Saccharomyces cerevisiae S288C: one gene and its partners. Changing the gene in region 3 together with the main gene of any one other region gives a genetic interaction. Each region holds a gene or a part of one and is shown on either strand. Other genes may lie near its edges.

Region 1 (8,240 bases), on a different chromosome or scaffold from region 3:
ATATCATCTGTTTAGTTGTATTCGTGTTACTAGTTTATTATCACGTGCGGTGTAAGAAGATGATATTAGGATTTCATTCCAATGGTTTGCAATTACCCTTTTAAGTAGCCATTGATATTTTGTGGCATTTGTTATCTTTCAACACATGTTATTATAAACTACTTACCAAAAAAAGTGTTGTATTACGGGCTCGAGTAATATCGGAGTGTCTTGACAATCCTAATATGAACAGTCTTAGGGAAGTAACCAGTTGTCAAAACGGTTTATCAGATTAATTCACGGAATGTTACTTATCTTATATATTATATAAAATATGAATCATACTAAGTGGTGGAAGCGCGGAATCTCGGATCTAAACTAATTGTTCAGGCATTTATACTTTTGGGTAGTTCAGCTAGGGAAGGCCGGGTTTTATCTCATGTTGTTCGTTTTGTTATAAGGTTGTTTCATATGTGTTTTATGAACGTTCAGGATGACGTATTGTCATACTGACGTATCTCATTTTGAGATACAACACTTCCAAGAAATAAGCGCAAGTGGTTTAGTGGTAAAATCCAACGTTGCCATCGTTGGGCCCCCGGTTCGATTCCGGGCTTGCGCAATTCTTTTTGATTTTTATTTTTATATAAAAAATAAACGACGTTATTTGAATTGCAAAAAAATGGTCTCTAGCGGGATCGAACCGCTGATCCCCGCGTTATTAGCACGGTGCCTTAACCAACTGGGCCAAGAGACCTTGATTACTGGTTAACGTGCTTGAAGAAGAAAAACATCAGGGACAGATGAAAACCTTCATTTACTTAGCATGCATTTTTTTAATCTCCTTTTTCGTTGTAGATATTGTTGAATAAGGATCAATTATATGATATTGATTAGTAGCAACAGTTTTACCATTTTTTAGACAGAATCTGTTGAAGGAATAATCAACGATCATCTATCGATTAGTATCATACACAGTGTAAGAATGACATGGAGTTGAGAAACAGTCATCAAAAGTAATGAAAGCTGAGATGTGATAATTGCTGATTCAATAGGATAATAAACGACTACATGTAAAGCCAAAGAAAAAATAGTATTATCATATAAAATTGCCGGTTCTCTTGTGGAAGTCTTACATCCTTGAGAAGAACTTAGGGTATAATTTACACACCTATATTATTGTCTTTTACGTAAACAGGATCTAAAAAATAATCTTAAAATATGTCTATTTCCCAAATATTAATGAAGTATACAGTAAAATATACGTACATTCACAGAAAAAAAAATGCCTCCATACTATGGAAAAACAGCGTATTGCTCAGTGATTGTAATAACAAAATTTTTGACCTTGAACCAACTTGTCAATAACGATTATTAGAGTTATCAGAACGAGCAAATACGAGCGATGTAAGGATAAATGGTAAAAATGGATACATGGCGTAGCTAGGGATGGCGATGATGAAAAATAAAACAACTAAAAGATGTAAAGCAAATATGAAGTTTATGCTGCCCATGACTGTATTGTGAATTTGTTTGCTGTTGAGATTGTTGTCGTTATTTTCATGCCATTCATTTTATTATGGTCCTAATATTATACACGCTGCTATATATAAGTTACGTATCATAGCGGCACAATCTGTTGAACATTTCTGGCGGCCTGTTGAACCTTCAAATGGGCGAGCTGTTGAACAGTTTTGGCCAACCTGCACCCAGGGCTATTACATACACAACAATTTGCAGTGTCGACTTATCTATCTGCCCTCTTGCTGTCCACATGTGTTGAGTGTCATGTGTAGATTTTTACTTTTTCTACTTCTGTTATCTTTCCAAACTTTGTCTATTAAACCACTCAATTGAACTAATTTCTTTGATGAGCCGTTTTTTTTTTCTTAGTCCTCTGGATCAAACCAAATTGCTTACCAATCCTTCCACCACTGATAGATAACACACATCCGGTTGTTGTTGATAAGTGTATTATGCTAATCGGCGTCCCTTAAATTCAATGGTGAGAAGAAAAAAGCGATGATCCTTGCCTTCAAGCGCGCGCAAACAATAACCACTTATTAGCTTGAAGCTAAATTGCGGAGAAGGCTGTTCACAAACATGGATTCCAATATTAATTCCATAATAGGAGAAAAAAAATCATTGTAAGGTATACATGCATCATTACAGATAAGTTGGGCGGTTCAGAGCTTGGTTTTGTATTACCCTGGCATTTTTACATTGACCTAAGCAAGAGAACTACCCTGACGTCATCAGCGAAATTCGTTGAAATTAATATAAGGGTTGATGACTTTCAACCTCTTAGTTTTTTTTACTAATCACTACTTAATACATAATTATTGTGTAAACATATAAATATACAGTACTACCTGTGAATTAACTAGACGTCATGCGTATTGATTAACTCCCTCCATGAGCGCAAAAAGTATAAATATGCAAGAAAAAACAACGCATTGGATAAAAGCTTTATAAACATAAAATCATAATCATATCATTTCCTTTCTTTTTTTTGTTAAATACTCATCTCTCGGTTTGCGCACAAACACTAGTCAACTGGTTCCCAGCTGTCGACCTTCATTGTACCCTTTTCAGCTAAGTTGGTGTGGAACTTGAAAGCATTCTTTAGCATGTGTGGTTCATGCAAGCAATTGTGCTTTTTAGCGTAATGCTCTGCTCTGTCCAAGTAATCGGTCAACAAAGCTTGATAATCGGGATGAGCACACTTGTTGATGATTTCACGGGCTCTTTCCTTAGGCGATAGACCTCTTAGATCCGCCAAACCTTGGTCAGTGACCAAGATGTCCAGGTCATGCTCAGTTTGATCTACATGAGAGGCCATAGGAACAATGGTAGAGATACCGGTAGGGTCTACTTTAGTTGGTCTTGCAGAGGGGGCATGCATGATGGACAACTTTGCATTTCTCAAGAAATCAGCAGATCCACCCAACCCGTTCAACATACGGGAACCATTCACATTTGTAGAATTGGCGTGCGCGTAAATGTCAACTTCTACTGGGGTATTCATGGCGATGACACCCAATCTACGGATCATTTCCGGATTGTTCGAGACAACTTGAGATCTCAAACACAATCTGTGTTTGAAATTTTCCCAGTTTGCAAAGGCTCTGTCGAAACCCTTTTCAGTCAATCTCACGGAAGTAGCAGTGGCGTAGTCCAAAGATCCGTTCTCGAAAAGATCCAAGAACGAGTCCTGCAGCACTTCCGTCCATACAGTCAAGTGCTTGAATTGGGCGCCAGCAAGCCCTTCAATGACAGCGTTAGCAATGTTACCTATACCACTTTGTAAAGGCAGCAGGTTTTCAGGTAGCCTACCATGTTTTACCTCGTTTCTGAAAAACTCGACCAAATGACCTGCAATAGCCCTGGACATGTCGTCAGAGGGCGTATTTGGTGGGACCTGGTCCCTCATGGTGGACTCCACAATCGCAACAACCTTTTCAGGATCAACCGGGATGGAGTCAACACCACACTTGTCGTCCACTTTCAGATATGGGTATGGTTTCCTGAAAGGTGGGTTCACGGGCATGTCTATATCGTGAATACCCTCGAACGAAGGCGTAGCCGTGTTAACCTCAATAATCACTTTATCACTGACTGTAATGAATTCTGGAGAACCACCGACAGAGGGACCTGGGACGATAGACCCGTCCTCTTTAATGGCCGTTGCCTCGATTATAGTATAATCAAGGATTTTGTTGTCTTTTCTTTCCCTGGTGTAGAACCCGTATGTCAGATCCTGAGGGAACATGGACAGATGTTTATCAAAGAACTCAATTCTACCCTGGTTAATTGCCTTTGCAATGGGTTTCCCTACTTGATGAGGGGCTCTCTTAATGATCATGTCGTGTTCAGCCCAACGGTTTTCCTCTGGACCAGCAGAAGCTCCAACAAAAAGGTTGAATCTCAACTTCCCTTGTAAATTGTTCTTCTCCACGTGATCTATCAGTGCCTCCGGCACTGCCTTGGGAGTACCCACTCCTGTAAAACCGGACCACCCAAGGTACTGACCATTCTTGAACAATGGAATAAGCTCGTGAGCTTCCTTAACTTTTTTCAGATAGGGAGCATACCTAACTCTCTGCTTTAACAAATTAGAAATTGTCATTTTAGTGCAATATGTGAAAAAGAAAAAAAGAAATGTGTTGTTTGTTTTGCCGCTATTGTCTAGTAAGACGGTCTCTTGCTGCTTTGTGTGCTAATGTAAGCCCGGTGGGCACAAGACAAAAGAAGGGGTAGAACACATCTAACGTCTATATATACACAGCAACTTGATTACACATTTGCTCCAGCAAGCGCTTACCGTCCACAATACAGTGGTCATCCATACAATCACTACTTTGGTAGTTTGACGCTCCGATGGGATTGGCTGTTGCGGATGTGGTTGAGGGCGTTGTCCTCGAGGCCAATCAGCAGCGCGCATTGCCCGCCTTTGGCCCGGCGGGCCGCGCGTCGCAGGGGATGATGCTAGTCACCTATATGGATCACCCCTTGTGGTTCTTCATTTTTTTTTTCTTCAATTAACAGCCGCCGACGGCCCGTGGCGCGCGATCACGGAGTTGCGTAACTGCTCCCCTTAGCTCCATATAAGTATTGTCCTTTTATACGTCCGCGTCCTCAGCGGCTAATACGTATGTCATATGTACATATGTATATGTGTACGTATATGTATATGTATACATTGTTCTTCGGGTTGATATTTTAATGATAATGATGGCTAACTAAATATTTCGTTCCAAATGAGTTTCTTGAGGTCTTTCGTCGTTAGTGCCTCCTTGTAGTGATCAAACTCGAAGAAGCTGGGTGGGATGGGTTCGCCTTCAGGTTCGTCGTTTGGATCGTGGTATGTTTGCAAATACGGATGCTCCAGTGCCTCCTTAGCAGTAATCCTCTTCGCAGGGTCAAAAACAAGCATACGCTGTAAAAGATCTATGCCTTTCGGGTTGACTCGAGGGAACATCTTCTCCAGTGGCGCGGCAGGGTACATGGGAAGCGACTTTATGTACTCTCTAGCCCTGGGTGACTCTATACACCGCAAATCATTATCTGAGTGAGGTGTACCGATGATACCGAATATCAGTAGTAGTTGATGGCGATAATCTCTGCCAGGGAAGATTGGCCGTCTTAAGAAAAGTTCAGCGAGAATACATCCGCAGGACCACACGTCCATGGCCCTTGAGTATTTGGCAGAGGTTAACATCACCTCTGGCGCCCTGTACCAACGTGTGGCCACATACTCGGTCATGCCGCTTTGCTGACCTGTGGGCTCTGAATTGTCCGCGGCTGACTCGTCAATGATTCTTGCTAAACCGAAATCACATACTTTCAAGTCACAGTTGGAGTTTATGAGAAGGTTGGAGGGCTTTAAATCACGATGGATGACGTTCGAACCATGCAGCACTTTCACTGCTCTCAAGGTTTGGTATATAAAATATTGTATATGATCGTCACTCAGCATCTGGGTGGAGATTACACGGTGTAAATCTGTCTGCATTAGCTCTTGAATTATGTAGACCTCATTGAAGTTTTCGAACGAGTCAGGGCGTTGAATGTTGAAGATTGTTATGATATTTTCGTGCTTGAAGTGCTTCAGGATCTTTATTTCACGCAGCGTACGTAATGCGAACAAAGGCTTATCGAATGGTTCGATCTTTTTTATTGCCACGATTTCTCCCGTGGGCTTATGCGTTGCAGAACATACCACACCGTATGCACCCTCTCCCAGTAACGACTTCAACTGGAAGTCACTGGATATATTGTATACAATTCTCTTTGGCATATTATTTTCCTTTCTTTTTCTCTGCCTTATTTCCTTGTAGTTCAAACGAACTAGCTATTAGAAGAAAGAAAATGATTACAACGTATATATAGTTTCTGAGAGGCAAGAGTAAAAAGTTATGATATATTAGTATGTTGCTTTTCTGCAATTGTTTCAATGCCCTGTAAAAAACCGCATCATCTAAAATCTGAGAGAATGCAGAAACAAAAAAAAAAAAAGTAAAAATTTCGAGTAAAAGAATTTTGAGTTCCAGGGTGAAACAGATCTAAAACTCAAGAGCTTATGCATTGCTTGTAGGTACATCACATTTTACTTCAGAAAGATAAAAGAGTATGTGAAAGTAAACTGCCCTCTCCAGTTAACTCTTCCCAAACTAAAAAGTATCCGCCTGTGCGGACTACAAGCACTACCGCCCCTTGAATGAACACCAAAAGATGTGTGTAAGTTAAAAAGTCCGAACGAATTTATCCTTATGTATGTTCTTTTGAACGTCAAGTAGTCAATCTCTCCAACTACTCGGGTCTTTATATGGATCGCGTGATGTTTTAAGCCTTCTTTCCTCTAGTTTAGTGCAGTCGCTGCTTTTTTCTCGGGCTGAGTACGGCGAAAAGAAGGAAAAACCAAGGTCAAAAAATAACCTCTAAATAACAGCATGATGCAACAGCTCAAAAGACCTCTCAAGAAGCACAAAAAAAGGAGGCGAGTAGGTGGTACTATTTCATTCTACTAAGATCTTTAAAGCAATTCCTTTCCGGTTTTTTTCTCAACTACCGTACTCTTTTTCCTTTTTTATTTTGCCCTTAGATTGTATTATAAAGCTCTGTATATCTGGAAAAGCCCTGAAGTGTCCAGTAGTCATCACACGTTATGATATTACTTCATTTTGTCTATTCTCTTTGGGCCTTACTTCTCATTCCTTTAACTAATGCCGAAGAATTCACCCCCAAAGTGACAAAGACTATCGCGCAAGATTCATTTGATATATTAAGCTTTGATGATTCCAACACTTTAATTAGAAAACAAGACACCTCCGTTACTATAAGCTTTGACGATGGTGAAACATGGGAAAAAGTTGAAGGCATTGAAGGCGAAATCACTTGGATATACATCGACCCCTTCAATAGACATGACAGAGCCGTTGCAACGGCAATGAATGGGTCGTACCTTTATATAACCAATGATCAAGGTAAGTCATGGGAGCGTATAACGCTACCTGACTCCGGAGAAAGTATTTCACCTCGTGAATGCTATATAGAAACCCATCCCTTGAATAAGAACTATTTTCTTGCAAAGTGCAACTATTGTGAGAAAACAGAAGTAAACAATGACAATGAAGAGAATTCGGGGGACGAAGAGGGACAATTTGAAATATTTAATATTACACGTTGCACAGACAAGGTTTTTGCAAGTAATGATGGTGGAAAATCCTTTTCTGAGATCAAGTCTTCTCTAGAAAGGAACGAAAATAGTCCTATCAGCATTTCTGATTGTGGCTTTGCCAAGACCAGCAAAGATTCTGACCTTGAAAGTAGTGATACCTCAATAATCTGTCTTTTTCAAAATATGCAGCTTATTATGGATGAGTTTAGTTCTCCTTACACCGAAAGTAAATTGGTCCTAACTACGGACTGGGGCAAATCACTAAAAGAATTTGACCAATTTAAAGATAAGGTCGTCAATGGTTACAGGATATTGAAATCTCACATGGTTGTCTTAACCCAGGGCGACAGATATAATGATATGTCTTCCATGGATGTGTGGGTATCAAATGATCTGTCAAACTTTAAAATGGCTTACATGCCTACTCAGTTAAGGCATTCTATGCAAGGAGAAATATATGAGGACGCTATGGGAAGAATTATCTTGCCCATGAGTAGGGAAAGAAGTGATCAAGAGGAGGATAAGGGCATCGTGTCTGAAATTTTAATTTCCGACTCACAAGGGTTAAAATTTTCCCCCATCCCATGGACCGCAAATGAGGTGTTTGGTTATATTAATTTTTATCAACCTACTTACTTGAAAGGAACGATGATTGCCTCACTTTACCCTCTATCTAGGCGTCGTAACCGTAAAGGAAAAGCCAAAGGAGTAAAGAGTAAGGGGGTAACCAAAATATCTGTTGATAATGGCCTCACATGGACAATGTTAAAAGTTGTTGATCCAGATAACGCAGACTCATTCGACTGTGATATTACTGATTTTGAGAATTGTTCGCTTCAAAATATGTTTTACACACGGGAGGGTTCCACTCCAACCGCCGGAATTCTAATGACAACAGGTATTGTTGGCGATGGTAGTGTCTTCGACTGGGGAGATCAAAGAACCTTTATTTCTAGGGATGGTGGCTTAACATGGAAACTCGCCTTTGATTTTCCTTGTTTATACGCTGTTGGTGATTACGGAAATGTTATTGTGGCTATACCGTATAATGCGGATGAAGACGACGATCCTCAATCCGAAT
Region 2 (7,632 bases), on a different chromosome or scaffold from region 3:
TTCGGATTGCAAATCTACTAAGGATTTGTTAACTGATTCTATCCATTCATAGTTTTTGAAACTTTCATCATTTACGTTTAGTATCTGTAACTTGCTAGCAGTGCCACTTTTCCATAAAACGATCAAATTTAAATAACTAGCCTCGACATTCAACTCCAATGGTCTCGTTAGAACTAAATCTACAATTGACCAAATAGCAGAAGCTGAAAGATTAGTGGGGATGTTATTTTGAAAAGTATAAGTCAAAATACCGCTTGAATCAACCAACAAGGTGCCCATTTGAAAAAGCCCATTTTCCAAAGGCAACAATGTAACTAGAGTATTGTTATACAAGGAAAGGTATTCCCCTACAGCTTCCACTTTTCTAAAATGGCTTGGGTCTGAATCTGACTGTGAAACCATATCATAATCTTGTATTAAAGTAAATGAAGTTAAATCCCAAATTTTCAAGTGGCAATTCTGAGTCAACACAATTAAGTATCTTTCATGGAATAATTTACAACTAATCACACTATCGTAATCCGATTTAGAACTCCTAGAAAAAAATCGCGTTAGGCTTTTCAAGTATGAATTATCATTGAATAGTAAAGGCTCGTAATGTACGCCGTCAACTTTTTTTAAACCCAACAAACCGCCATCTTCCAAAAAAACAACTGAGAACTGGGGTGATACATAGAAAAGGAAATGAGGAACTCTAACTGTAAAGTCGTAGGGATTTTGGAGATGAAACCACTCTCCATTGAGAGTGTTGGCCGATGAAAATAGGAAACTTAGGGGTAGTTGTAACGTTAAAAACGAACCATCTTTTAAGATAACATTAACCAGTAATTGCTGTTCCACTTCTTGTATCGTTAAAGTGTATCTCTGATTCATAGAAGCATTTGGTAAGTGTATATTAATTGTCTTCCCATGGTATGCGTCACTCAAAGGATAAAATGTCAACAATGTTGATCTTGAGGAAAAATGGTAACAGATATACTCAGAGTTACTCAATAACAAACAATTGGAATATTCACTTCCGTAAGGCTGAGGAACTGGTGTAGAGATGGACTTATCTCCTTCTTTCAGCCCGTTATTATTACTGTTATTACTGACGTATAAATCAACCGTATTATTGGGTTCAGGTTTTTCATAATATTGGAGCAAATTTGCATCAATTCTTGAGAGGCATGCCATAATAGGTCAGTTGTGTACGAGTGAAATTGCGACCTCTTGAAAAATGCTTATGAACGTTGGATTTCGTCAATTTCTACTTGTTTCTCAGCTTCTCATGCTATTTCAATTCAATTTTTTTTTCACGTAATTGGAGAAAAAGACAGGAAAACAAAAAACATGAAAGTTCTGTAGGGTAATGGAAAAGAAAATATTGATGAACTATACATATCTACGGCAATTGATAAACGTGTCTTAATAAAATCATAGAATAATTAAAAACGTCCTAATGCGTGTTAAGAAGTAATTAGGAAGTTTAGATACCTATAGAATCAAAGAATAGAAGCTAAAAAGTTGATGCAGAGAAAAAAGAGAGAGAGGTTACATATACATTAAAAATGAGAAAGGGGAGTCCTACTCTCAAATTCAAATACAAAATACGAAAATTTTTCTAATTTCGCTAGACTTAGATCTTTTCTTCCACAATACCGTGCTTCCAGATGGCAACAAATGGAGTGGTACCATCTTCACGGTAGTTCAACATGACAACCATGGCATCTGGGTCCATGGATTCACCAGTGAAGAACTCCCAGTCCTTGAAAGAACCAATAACCTTCTTGACGTAAGTTTGAGCACCCTTTTCGAATTTAGGAACTTCTTCTGGGTTAGTTTCTTGCAACTTAGCTTTAACAGCCTTCATGTAACCCTTAATGTAGGTCAAGAAGGACTTCTTGTCAAAAGCGGTTTGTTGTAGACGGAAAGAGTGGACAACGTTGTTGACCATTTCAGCACCTTCTTCAACATCATCGTCACCACCTTCAGCAGATGGGTTAGCACCGATATCGATGTTGTCACCTCCGACATTGACCATAGCACAGTCGGCTTCGTAGATAACGTCATCAACTAACTTAGCGTCGTAAGCATCAGACAACAATTCGTCGTTAGAGAAGATATCCTTGTAAATAATCATATTTGTCTATAGTATGTTCTGTGTTAATCTGCTAACCGCAACTGAGACCCCAGAAAGAAAATTGTTAAAAAGCTAAAATGAAAGTAGTAAACCATTGAATGAAAACATTAACCAAAATAAAATTTTTTTTTAAGTCCCAATTGAAATACTTCTCCTTATAAATATCATGAAAGGAAGAAAAAAAAGTGAAAAAAAAAAAAAAAACCAATAAAAAAATAAAAAAATATCAATTCTACGAGAAATGCGTGCGAAATCGATGAGTTTTGTTTTGCCTCTGAAAAATTCTGGAAAATTTTTCTTAGCGGAAAAAAGAAAAAAAAGAAACGTGATGTGAAAATGTGTTCACTGAGCTCATCGATATACACATTGAACAGACACAAATCTATTATTTGTTTCGATTTTCTTTTACGTCTCCAAAGCAGTTCTACTGTATAGAGACCAGACTTCTTCCGCTATTTCAGCGGGTGCGCTTGTACCGCTTGCCCCAATGGTTCTCTCCAGCATTTCTTTAGCCTCCACTGGCAAATTTTGGATCATATCGGTCCCTTTGACTAAACCTGGAGATATCGTAAAACACCTAATGTTTCTTGGTTCCATTTCTGCAGCTAAAACTTCTGTAAATCTGGACAGTGCGGCTTTAGAGGCGGAGTAAACAGATGTACCTGGAACCTTCATTTTTCCGGAGTGTAGAATGGAGGAAATATTTACGATGGTGGGTCGAGCAGATTGACCACTGAGTTCCGGCCATCTCCTTTGCGACTTCATCATATACTTAATACAGATGTTTGTCATCGTCACAGGGCTCATAAAGTTAACATTCATTATGTCCTGAATTTGAGATGCAGTGGTTCTTACACTTAATGATTCTTGAGTCAAGCCTGCGCAGTTAATCAATAAGTTTACGTAGTAGCGGCGTTCATTATTTGACCATTTGTTACATGGGTCGAACAATGTGGAATATTTCTGTTTCAAGGGCGGTCTATCTTTGAAATATTCGATACCGTCATATGACTCATAGTCAAGCCAGTGAGGCCATTTCTTAAAATCAATTGCTATAGCACATTGCCGCTGATATGATAATCCCGATTGTAATTGGCCTCTATCTATCGCGGTGCGCTCTATACTTTCTTTAGTAGACCCAAGTATAATGCAACTTAAACCCTTTTGAAATAACTTTTGACATATTGCCTTGCCTATACCCCTAGTGGCACCTGTTACTATCGCAACAGGCAAATAATGCATTTCCAGACTTTTCTTCTCCCACGTCTATACCAATGTACTCATGTGTATTCCATAGTTCTCATCAGTTGCAAACAGTAACGGCGGAAATTTTGACGCTGTGATATATAAAACAGAAAAAGTGGCATTTCCAAAACCCCGCAAAATAAAGACACAGCTAGCTAGATAGATAACACAACATATATATACCTTTTATTATTTACGTACGTATATATATATATGCAAAATTTAAATGATATATGACATCATCAAAAGGATATGGAATCCTTGCCCAAACATTGAAGAAAGTAAAACATAATAGTGGTAATAAAATGTGTATTTAAATTCATTGTATTTTATTCCCCATTTCGTTTTTTATGTGGGAGGTTCTACTTCTCCCTTATTAGTAGAAACCTCTTGAATTTTTAGAATTGTAATCATAACCGTTGTAGCCATATGGTACACCTTGTTGGGCAGCAGCAGCGGCAGCGGCAGCAGCTTGTTGCTGTTGTTGTTGGAATTGATAGTATTGTTGGAACTGCATTTGTTGTTGTGGGTTAACAGGTTGGCCATTTTGCATTTGAACTTCAGGTTGGGGTTGACCTTGAGGTTGCTGTTGCTGTTGCTGTTGTGATTGCTTCTGTTGAGAGTCTTCAGAATGCTGGGCAACACCTTGATTTGGACTTTGCTGTTCCTGACCGTTTTGAGTTTGGTAATAGTTGTAATTGTTCTTTGGTAACTGGTATGGATATTGACCAGCTACACCGTATTGAGGTTGACCATATGGGAATGACTGTTGGTAAAAGTGGGCGTAGTATGGCATGAATGAGCCACCGTATGGCTGTTGTTGTTGAGGTTGGGCGTGAGCTGTAGCTGGAGAAGCGGCAGCAGCAGCGGCAGCACTAGTCAAATTAGCAGCAGCAGTGTTCGCGCCTGCTTGACCATAACCTTGTTGGAAATTATATTGGTTAGCATTACCACTAGTTTGAGCGTTGTTTTGAGCAAGTTGCTGATATTGTTGACCGTAAGCGTATCCTTGTGAATCAAACATACCTGGATAAGAATATCCAGGAAATTGGTTTTGATACATGTAGTACTGTTGGGCAGCCACGTTGTTCCCTTGTTTTTGACTTTGTGGACTTTGCTGTGATTGAGGTTGTTGTGATTGAGGTTGTGGATGCTGTTGCTGTTGCTGAGCATATTGTTGTTGTTGGGACAAATACTGTTGCTGTAACTGATGCTGTTGTTGAGCGTATTGTTGCTGCTGTTGTTGAGTATAGTAGTTTTGAGATAATTGTTCTTCTTGGGCTTGAGCTTGAGCTTGTACTGGTTGTTGTTGCTGTTGCTGTTGCTGTTGTAGTTGTTGTTGTGGTTGTTGTGGTTGCTGTGGTTGTTGTTGTTGCTGTGGTTGCTGTGGTTGCTGTGGTTGCTGTGGTTGCTGTGGTTGCTGTGGTTGTTGGGATTGTTGTTGTGGTTGAGGTACAGTATTAGCTTGATCTTCTGGAGGCTCTGAAATAACAGCACTAATTTCAACCTTTTCTTCAACAACTGTAACTTCTTCTTCTGGAGCAGCAACATTATCTTGTTCTTGTTCCAGCTCTTCCGCTGTCTGTTCCTCTTCTTTTACTTGTTCCTTTTTTTCAGCTTCTTCTTGGACTTCTTCTCCGTCCACTTCAGGGACTCTGTCTTCATTTTCTTCAGAAGGTTCAGCAGTCTCCTCCTCTTGTTCTTGTGCAGATGTTTCTTGTTCATTAACTTTTTCTTCACTAGCTTCAGACTTTTGGTCATCCTTCTTAATATCGCTTATTTCTTTCTTCAATTCAGCAACGTTTTCAAGAGGAGACTCGGTCTTTTTAACAGCCTTTGGCTTTGGTGTAGCAATTGCAGCCCACGACATTTTCTTTGGTTGTGAAGCAGATGTCCTAGAAGTTGTTTTCTTTGAAGATAAAGAAGGTTGCTCTATTTGTTTGTGTTCTTCTTTGTTATTATGCCCTTCCTGCTGTTGTTGCTCTTCTTGCTCTTTTTCTTGATTTTTCTCCTGCGCTTGTTGCCCTTGTGCTTCTAATTCTTCATTATTGTTATCATTTGAATCTTGAGGAACGTCATGTTTAGTATCTACAGAAACAGCTGCTGCCCACGATGTAGTGTTTGAAACAGGCTTGGATGGTACGTGCTTCCCCTTGTCGAGATTAACATGTTTCCCGGTTGTATGAGCTCGTGGTGTTTGTACCTTCTTCTTATTTCTGGCTTGAGTATAATTGTTACTACTGTTATGCTTTGTAGAAGTAAAAGAATTGCTATTATTAGAACTCTTATATGTAATATCATCTTCTGGATTTGGCAAATGTTGTTGAGGGACATATGAGTGTTGTTGCTCCTTTTTTTCATATTTTTCCTTCTTAGCAGGTTTCTTTACTTCATCCCATCTTGTCACTGCGCCGGAAGTAATTTTATCAATTATAGTTTCCAAATCATCATATTCTTGAACTATATCAATTAAATCATCACTCGTCCAGTCAGGGAACAATTCTGTAAGCGTATCTATTTTGGACTTTAGCGCAGGATTTAGTTTTTTACTACTATGACTATTATGATTAGACTTCCTAAATTGTGTAGACATTATATATATATGATGATGTAGATTATATTGAGAAAACGACCAAACAAAAATAAATATGTAAGTACTTTATGATGGTGATTTTTTTGGGGTAATTGGTAAGAGTTTTTCTTGTAGCTTCAAAAGATCAAATATAAAATACGAATGTTTCTGAAATTACTGTAAAAGACTTAGGAAAAGGAATGAAACGTTTATATGGGAGAGAACGAAAATTTTTCCTTTTCCCGCCACTACTTTTTGCCACCATTTCCCGTTATTTATTTGGGCGAGTGCTCACCTCCGACGGAATCACGGGTGACGGATATCCTAAAAAGGTAAAGAATTGAAACAGATCTATTAATATACGGATCACTATACATTATTATAAGTCGATATTGCAGTATTAGTATTTACATGTTGAATAATGCACATTCTGTGCTAAAATATATACTTCATTTGTCAACTTCTTTTAGTTTGCCGCCATTTTCAAACGGCGCCTCCTCCCTAGCTTCGTCTAGAGCAGGCTTAATACCTTGTTTGACGAGAGCTGCGTTGACACATGTAGTATAAGCGTACCATTGTTTTGAGCACTCGTTCTCAACGGATTTTCCCTTCAGGAATTTTTCGCTATACCATTCATTAAAACAACTATCGTATTTCGTCTTCAGGTCAGTGCATTCAGGCGCAAAACTAGCTGACATTATATTCCCCATATAAAACTGGTATTATTGTTATTGTAATTCAAGTTAAAACACAAACAGATGTTTTCTAATGACCTCTCCCGGCATATATCTGGCGCACTTAGAATAAATTTCTACATGCAAATACTCTGAATATTCTGAATGTGGCTCTCCCTATATCGAAGAAAAAATATAGCGGGCCCATTACCCTGCGTTCTGATATTCATCACTAGTAAAAATTGTATGTACTTATTTATTCTATCTATTCGTAGAAAAATGAATGATGGTCCCAGGCTTTGGTACTTCTTTCGTACTCTCTTCTTCATCGGGCCCTTCGTTGTTATCATCCGCTTGTCCCTTCGGGTGGTGGTGCCCCTGCTTCAGAGGCGAGCTCTCTATATTATTGCTGTTCTCATCGTCGTTATCGCCGTCGTTATTAATATGTTCTTCATGAGCCAGTTGCTTCCGCATTTTATTGGGCACAATCGGAGACGGTACCATGCTGGAACTAGACCCGTACTGCTGCTGCAAAAGTAGCGAAATCTTTCTTTTGCGGCTTTGTCTCTGTATTGTACTTTCATCTTGCTCATCATCAGCTCCACCATGACCCTCGCCTGTAAGGTCTGTTTGCTCCCTTGAAGGCACCGCCTCTGAACCAGTATCTTCGTCGCTAGAGTCCGGAAGTTTCAATATCTGTCCCGTGGATGTTATATTCGCTGTGTGGAAATCATCTATACTGTCGTTATTAAACATAGAATGGACATCCCGGTTGACATGTACAGCTGAATCTGCCTCGTTAGGCCCATTGTCTGTCTGGGACTGCCTACTCGCCTCTTCAGCGGATGTAGGAAATATACCAACATTATTGCTCACAAGGCTTTTGACTGGAGCGTTTCCCACTGGTGCAGCTGCATTTGCCTGCAAATTCACCAGCCCAGTCTCTTGAAACATAGTCCCCAGCCATTCGGTGCTATCCATGATCCGCTCACATATTTCTGAATATGTAGCCACGTGTG
Region 3 (7,704 bases):
GTGAGTAGAACTCTAATGAACGTCTCTACGTGACTTTTCTTGAATATGTCTGGTATCACCAACACGACCTTGTACTGATTAAATTTGGTAGGCTTAACGTTTAAAGTCTCTGAGTTAAGTGCATGCTCCAAAAGCTTGGTAACGTCTGAGATTAATTCTGCCAACGATTTATAATATGGTGACTTGACATTAAAAGAGCCACCTCTGAAAGGCTTTCTAATAACAAATTTTTCGTCCACGCACCTCAATGCATCTGAACCATAGTATAATTTTGAGTCATCAAATATCCATTCTATAGGAGATGGATCATTTTTCTCTGAAATAATCTCAGGTTTGGAATTTTCATTGAAAGATACTACCTGTTCGTGAGCATTACCTGGTACCTTTCTTTTATAATACCTCATACGTTCTCTAAAATTCTTTTCCATCTCCGACTTTATGTTGTTAAACTCTTCTGACTGTTCTCTTTGAAGGCAAACGTTTTCAACATGTTCACTATTTTCAAGATCCAGCCATTTTTTAGGTACCGCTACACAATTTGGAACTACGACAGGATGGTCATCTTTGGGAAATCCTATCTTTATAGAATTTGATCCAGGATGTATCACGATAGTTGCTGTTGGATCATTTAGATCTATCTCGTCATTAAGTGGTGCTGCACTCGCTTCTGAGTGGGGCAAACTCTTTAAATCTATAACATCTGGTGTGTTGGTACTAGATATTTGGCTAGTGTTGTTATTTCTCAAAAATTTTCTATCTCTAAGTGCAAATATTTGATCGTCTTTTTTCAGATAATCTGATGAGTAGTTTTTTTGGTTGATTAACATTAAAGGTTGGAACAGGCCAGTGGCAGGTAAAGTAGTTGTCTCCACTTTCTCAATGCCAATTTTTTTCAACGTCTTGGCAAATTCTTCAGCAGCTTTAATACGTCCTAGTCTCCTCTTCTCCAAAAGATGTAGCGGGACTTTCTTCCCGGGAGGTGCTTTTGCGGGATCTAGCTTCGGATATTTCTTATAACGTTTACTAGTCTGCACAGCAGGTGGTGCCCTCTTATCTCTAGAGCTCCCTAATTCATTTTCATTTTCGTTGGCATTATCATTATCATTTTCGTCCTCATTGTCAACATCATTGTCGTCTTCGTCTTCATCTTCGTCTTCCCCTTCTTCATCTTCATCTTCTTCGTCTGCAACGTCTCTTGGGTCAACAGAAAGACCTGTTACACTTCTGGGTGTCTCAGATCCAACTACGTTATCGACACTATCGTCTGACTCATTCTCCGCATTTTCTTGATCCGCCTGGCTGCTTAAAGGTACGCTATTTTCTTCTTCCAGTTCATCCTCATCGTCATCATCCTCTAACGGAATATCAATGGGTTCCTCATAAATAATACTGGATTCTGCTTCTTCTTGCGACATGTTAGGTGCGATTGTATCCCTGTATTTATGTACTATTGACTAGTAATTTACCTGAAAGTGTTTGCTACTTCGTGGGCGTTCATCATCTCCATTTATTCATATTGCCATTCTCAAATAAGTCATCTTGCACGGCCCAACCAGCGGCTGGATAACGGATCTACCCCAACCTCGGACCCAAAGTTGCTGCTATAAAAACAGAAACAAAAAAGGCGTTTCTCGAGACTGATATCCAGATGGTAATAGAGCCCTTAAGTGCTTTGCAATTGTCAATTAAGTATCCTTGTTCGAGAGTTGTTCACAGCACACTGCGTATATATAGGCTTACCACAGTTGGATTTAATCAAGCGATATAAAAGCTGGAAGGAGACAAGTTTCCCCTAATTGTTGTTCTGTTTGTTACTTACCACTCTATATACGTTCGATTTCATAGAAAATTTCTTTTGCAGACCATTTATTCTTCAGTTTGATAATGTTAAGATCTACCGTTTCAAAAGCTTCTCTCAAAATTTGTCGTCACTTTCACAGAGAATCTATTCCTTACGATAAGACGATCAAAAATTTGCTGCTTCCCAAGGACACCAAGGTGATCTTTCAGGGGTTCACAGGTAAACAAGGTACTTTTCATGCCAGCATCTCTCAAGAATATGGTACAAATGTTGTGGGTGGTACGAACCCAAAAAAGGCGGGTCAAACACATTTAGGCCAACCTGTCTTTGCCTCTGTGAAGGACGCGATTAAGGAGACTGGAGCCACTGCCAGTGCCATCTTTGTTCCTCCACCGATCGCAGCTGCTGCCATTAAAGAATCTATTGAAGCTGAAATTCCGTTAGCTGTATGTATCACTGAAGGTATTCCTCAACATGACATGTTATACATTGCAGAAATGTTGCAGACACAAGATAAAACAAGATTAGTTGGGCCCAACTGCCCTGGTATCATTAACCCAGCAACAAAGGTAAGAATTGGTATCCAGCCCCCAAAAATTTTTCAAGCTGGTAAAATCGGTATTATTTCCAGATCGGGAACTTTGACATACGAAGCTGTTCAGCAAACTACAAAAACTGACCTTGGTCAATCACTGGTTATTGGTATGGGTGGTGATGCTTTTCCCGGTACTGATTTTATTGACGCCTTGAAATTATTTCTAGAAGATGAAACTACAGAAGGTATTATTATGTTAGGTGAAATAGGTGGTAAGGCCGAAATCGAAGCTGCTCAATTTCTCAAAGAATACAACTTTAGCAGGAGTAAGCCGATGCCGGTGGCATCTTTCATCGCAGGAACTGTTGCTGGTCAAATGAAAGGTGTTAGAATGGGTCACTCCGGTGCAATTGTAGAAGGATCTGGAACTGATGCAGAATCCAAAAAACAAGCTTTGAGAGATGTTGGTGTTGCCGTCGTTGAATCTCCAGGTTACTTAGGTCAAGCTTTACTGGATCAATTTGCCAAATTTAAATGATTATATTAGGAAGAGAATGAACTGCTTTCAAAAGAGGAAGACTTCTATGTCTCGATTATTGCTTAGACAAGTATGGAGCTGACATCCGTTTTCTTTTCAGAGCTTTTACTCAACATTCTATGTTAATTTTTCCCTTTGTATATATTCATTTATCCTTATAAATTCTACTAAAAATCTTTTAATAGTGTTTGTATTTAATGTTCTTCTTAACAAGGGTATACATAAAGGTTGATTAAAGCTTAATAATTGAAATGGAAAAAAAAATAACAAAACGTCTGAATTTCCTAGTCTGTTTTGCAAAAACAGATGCGCAAGCCGGGAATCGAACCCGGGCCTCATGCTTGGGAAGCATAAATTCTAACCACTGAACCACTTGCGCGTTTCAATCAATTTGGGAAGACTCAGCACGTTATATACTATTAATGAAAAATTTCCTTCTTAGTAATGACACTGATAAATAGGTAAGTGTTGGAATTAAAATCAACTATCGTCTAACAACTAGTAGTCACACTACCAATATATTATCATACACGGTGTTAGACGATGACATAAGATATGAGAAACTGTCATCGAAGTTAGACGAAGCTGAAATGCAAGGATTGATAACGTAATAGGATAATAAAACATATAGAACAGAAGGAGAAATAATCATAGTATTATTATGTAGAAATATAGATTCCTTTTTGAGGACTCCTATATCCTCGAGGAGAACTACACATAATATTATATATAACCTTTGCCAAAAAAAGGAATGCCAAAAATTATCAAACTATTTGTTGGAATAAAAATCCACTATCGTCTATCAACTAATAGTTATATTATCAATATATTATCATATACGGTGTTAAGATGATGACATAAGTTATGAGAAGCTGTCATCGAAGTTAGAGGAAGCTGAAGTGCAAGGATTGATAATGTAATAGGATAATGAAACATATAAAACGGAATGAGGAATAATCGTAATATTAGTATGTAGAAATATAGATTCCATTTTGAGGATTCCTATATCCTCGAGGAGAACTTCTAGTATATTCTGTATACCTAATATTATAGCCTTTATCAACAATGGAATCCCAACAATTATCTAATTACCCACATATATCTCATGGTAGCGCCTGTGCTTCGGTTACTTCTAAGGAAGTCCACACAAATCAAGATCCGTTAGACGTTTCAGCTTCCAAAATTCAAGAATATGATAAGGCTTCCACTAAGGCTAACTCTCAACAGACAACAACACCTGCTTCATCAGCTGTTCCAGAGAACCCCCATCATGCCTCTCCTCAACCTGCTTCAGTACCACCTCCACAGAATGGGCCGTACCCACAGCAGTGCATGATGACCCAAAACCAAGCCAATCCATCTGGTTGGTCATTTTACGGACACCCATCTATGATTCCGTATACACCTTATCAAATGTCGCCTATGTACTTTCCACCTGGGCCACAATCACAGTTTCCGCAGTATCCATCATCAGTTGGAACGCCTCTGAGCACTCCATCACCTGAGTCAGGTAATACATTTACTGATTCATCCTCAGCGGACTCTGATATGACATCCACTAAAAAATATGTCAGACCACCACCAATGTTAACCTCACCTAATGACTTTCCAAATTGGGTTAAAACATACATCAAATTTTTACAAAACTCGAATCTCGGTGGTATTATTCCGACAGTAAACGGAAAACCCGTACGTCCGATCACTGATGATGAACTCACCTTCTTGTATAACACTTTTCAAATATTTGCTCCCTCTCAATTCCTACCTACCTGGGTCAAAGACATCCTATCCGTTGATTATACGGATATCATGAAAATTCTTTCCAAAAGTATTGAAAAAATGCAATCTGATACCCAAGAGGCAAACGACATTGTGACCCTGGCAAATTTGCAATATAATGGCAGTACACCTGCAGATGCATTTGAAACAAAAGTCACAAACATTATCGACAGACTGAACAATAATGGCATTCATATCAATAACAAGGTCGCATGTCAATTAATTATGAGAGGTCTATCTGGCGAATATAAATTTTTACGCTACACACGTCATCGACATCTAAATATGACAGTCGCTGAACTGTTCTTAGATATCCATGCTATTTATGAAGAACAACAGGGATCGAGAAACAGCAAACCTAATTACAGGAGAAATCCGAGTGATGAGAAGAATGATTCTCGCAGCTATACGAATACAACCAAACCCAAAGTTATAGCTCGGAATCCTCAAAAAACAAATAATTCGAAATCGAAAACAGCCAGGGCTCACAATGTATCCACATCTAATAACTCTCCCAGCACGGACAACGATTCCATCAGTAAATCAACTACTGAACCGATTCAATTGAACAATAAGCACGACCTTCATCTTAGGCCAGAAACTTACTGAATCTACAGTAAATCATACTAATCATTCTGATGATGAACTCCCTGGACACCTCCTTCTCGATTCAGGAGCATCACGAACCCTTATAAGATCTGCTCATCACATACACTCAGCATCATCTAATCCTGACATAAACGTAGTTGATGCTCAAAAAAGAAATATACCAATTAACGCTATTGGTGACCTACAATTTCACTTCCAGGACAACACCAAAACATCAATAAAGGTATTGCACACTCCTAACATAGCCTATGACTTACTCAGTTTGAATGAATTGGCTGCAGTAGATATCACAGCATGCTTTACCAAAAACGTCTTAGAACGGTCTGACGGCACTGTACTTGCACCTATCGTAAAATATGGAGACTTTTACTGGGTATCTAAAAAGTACTTGCTTCCATCAAATATCTCCGTACCCACCATCAATAATGTCCATACAAGTGAAAGTACACGCAAATATCCTTATCCTTTCATTCATCGAATGCTTGCGCATGCCAATGCACAGACAATTCGATACTCACTTAAAAATAACACCATCACGTATTTTAACGAATCAGATGTCGACTGGTCTAGTGCTATTGACTATCAATGTCCTGATTGTTTAATCGGCAAAAGCACCAAACACAGACATATCAAAGGTTCACGACTAAAATACCAAAATTCATACGAACCCTTTCAATACCTACATACTGACATATTTGGTCCAGTTCACAACCTACCAAAAAGTGCACCATCCTATTTCATCTCATTTACTGATGAGACAACAAAATTCCGTTGGGTTTATCCATTACACGACCGTCGCGAGGACTCTATCCTCGATGTTTTTACTACGATACTAGCTTTTATTAAAAACCAGTTTCAGGCCAGTGTCTTAGTTATACAAATGGACCGTGGTTCTGAGTATACTAACAGAACTCTCCATAAATTCCTTGAAAAAAATGGTATAACTCCATGCTATACAACCACAGCGGATTCCCGAGCACATGGAGTCGCTGAACGGCTGAACCGTACCTTATTAGATGACTGCCGTACTCAACTGCAATGTAGTGGTTTACCGAACCATTTATGGTTCTCTGCAATCGAATTTTCTACTATTGTGAGAAATTCACTAGCTTCACCTAAAAGCAAAAAATCTGCAAGACAACATGCTGGCTTGGCAGGACTTGATATCAGTACTTTGTTACCTTTCGGTCAACCTGTTATCGTCAATGATCACAACCCTAACTCCAAAATACATCCTCGTGGCATCCCAGGCTACGCTCTACATCCGTCTCGAAACTCTTATGGATATATCATCTATCTTCCATCCTTAAAGAAGACAGTAGATACAACTAACTATGTTATTCTTCAGGGCAAGGAATCCAGATTAGATCAATTCAATTACGACGCACTCACTTTCGATGAAGACTTAAACCGTTTAACTGCTTCATATCATTCGTTCATTGCGTCAAATGAGATCCAAGAATCCAATGATCTTAACATAGAATCTGACCATGACTTCCAATCCGACATTGAACTACATCCTGAGCAACCGAGAAATGTCCTTTCAAAAGCTGTGAGTCCAACCGATTCCACACCTCCGTCAACTCATACTGAAGATTCGAAACGTGTTTCTAAAACCAATATTCGCGCACCCAGAGAAGTTGACCCCAACATATCTGAATCTAATATTCTTCCATCAAAGAAGAGATCTAGCACCCCCCAAATTTCCAATATCGAGAGTACCGGTTCGGGTGGTATGCATAAATTAAATGTTCCTTTACTTGCTCCCATGTCCCAATCTAACACACATGAGTCGTCGCACGCCAGTAAATCTAAAGATTTCAGACACTCAGACTCGTACAGTGAAAATGAGACTAATCATACAAACGTACCAATATCCAGTACGGGTGGTACCAACAACAAAACTGTTCCGCAGATAAGTGACCAAGAGACTGAGAAAAGGATTATACACCGTTCACCTTCAATCGATGCTTCTCCACCGGAAAATAATTCATCGCACAATATTGTTCCTATCAAAACGCCAACTACTGTTTCTGAACAGAATACCGAGGAATCTATCATCGCTGATCTCCCACTCCCTGATCTACCTCCAGAATCTCCTACCGAATTCCCTGACCCATTTAAAGAACTCCCACCGATAAATTCTCGTCAAACTAATTCCAGTTTGGGTGGTATTGGTGACTCTAATGCCTATACTACTATCAACAGTAAGAAAAGATCATTAGAAGATAATGAAACTGAAATTAAGGTATCACGAGACACATGGAATACTAAGAATATGCGTAGTTTAGAACCTCCGAGATCGAAGAAACGAATTCACCTGATTGCAGCTGTAAAAGCAGTAAAATCAATCAAACCAATACGAACAACCTTACGATACGATGAGGCAATCACCTATAATAAAGATATTAAAGAAAAAGAAAAATATATCGAGGCATACCA

The links. Genes that interact genetically often act in the same process or in processes that back each other up.
Region 1: mutations in LSC1 (region 3) and ACH1 together harm fitness more than expected from each alone (negative genetic interaction), as found in Saccharomyces cerevisiae (3 studies listed by BioGRID).
Region 2: mutations in LSC1 (region 3) and OAR1 together harm fitness more than expected from each alone (negative genetic interaction), as found in Saccharomyces cerevisiae (4 studies listed by BioGRID).

Annotation. Positions count from the first base shown.
Region 1 is NC_001134.8:189,990-198,229, reverse strand, and holds ACH1 (acetyl-CoA hydrolase), read right to left. Parts: upstream 4,109-8,240; coding exon 2,528-4,108; downstream 1-2,527. Other genes in the region: mitogen-activated serine/threonine-protein kinase FUS3, read right to left, coding at 4,718-5,779; PEP1 (type I sorting receptor), read left to right, coding at 6,647-8,240. UniProt on the Saccharomyces cerevisiae protein: Presumably involved in regulating the intracellular acetyl-CoA pool for fatty acid and cholesterol synthesis and fatty acid oxidation. It may be involved in overall regulation of acetylation during melatonin synthesis.
Region 2 is NC_001143.9:332,794-340,425, forward strand, and holds OAR1 (3-oxoacyl-[acyl-carrier-protein] reductase (NADPH)), read right to left. Parts: upstream 3,365-7,632; coding exon 2,528-3,364; downstream 1-2,527. Other genes in the region: NUP120 (Nup120p), read right to left, coding at 1-1,176; TMA19 (Tma19p), read right to left, coding at 1,619-2,122; DNA damage-responsive RNA polymerase-degradation factor DEF1, read right to left, coding at 3,744-5,960; MDM35 (Mdm35p), read right to left, coding at 6,389-6,649; ASK1 (Ask1p), read right to left, coding at 6,875-7,632. UniProt on the Saccharomyces cerevisiae protein: Involved in biosynthesis of fatty acids in mitochondria.
Region 3 is NC_001147.6:591,173-598,876, forward strand, and holds LSC1 (succinate--CoA ligase (GDP-forming) subunit alpha), read left to right. Parts: upstream 1-1,884; coding exon 1,885-2,874; downstream 2,875-7,704. Other genes in the region: ARP8 (Arp8p), read right to left, coding at 1-1,415; YOR142W-A (gag protein), read left to right, coding at 3,940-5,262. UniProt on the Saccharomyces cerevisiae protein: Succinyl-CoA synthetase functions in the citric acid cycle (TCA), coupling the hydrolysis of succinyl-CoA to the synthesis of ATP and thus represents the only step of substrate-level phosphorylation in the TCA.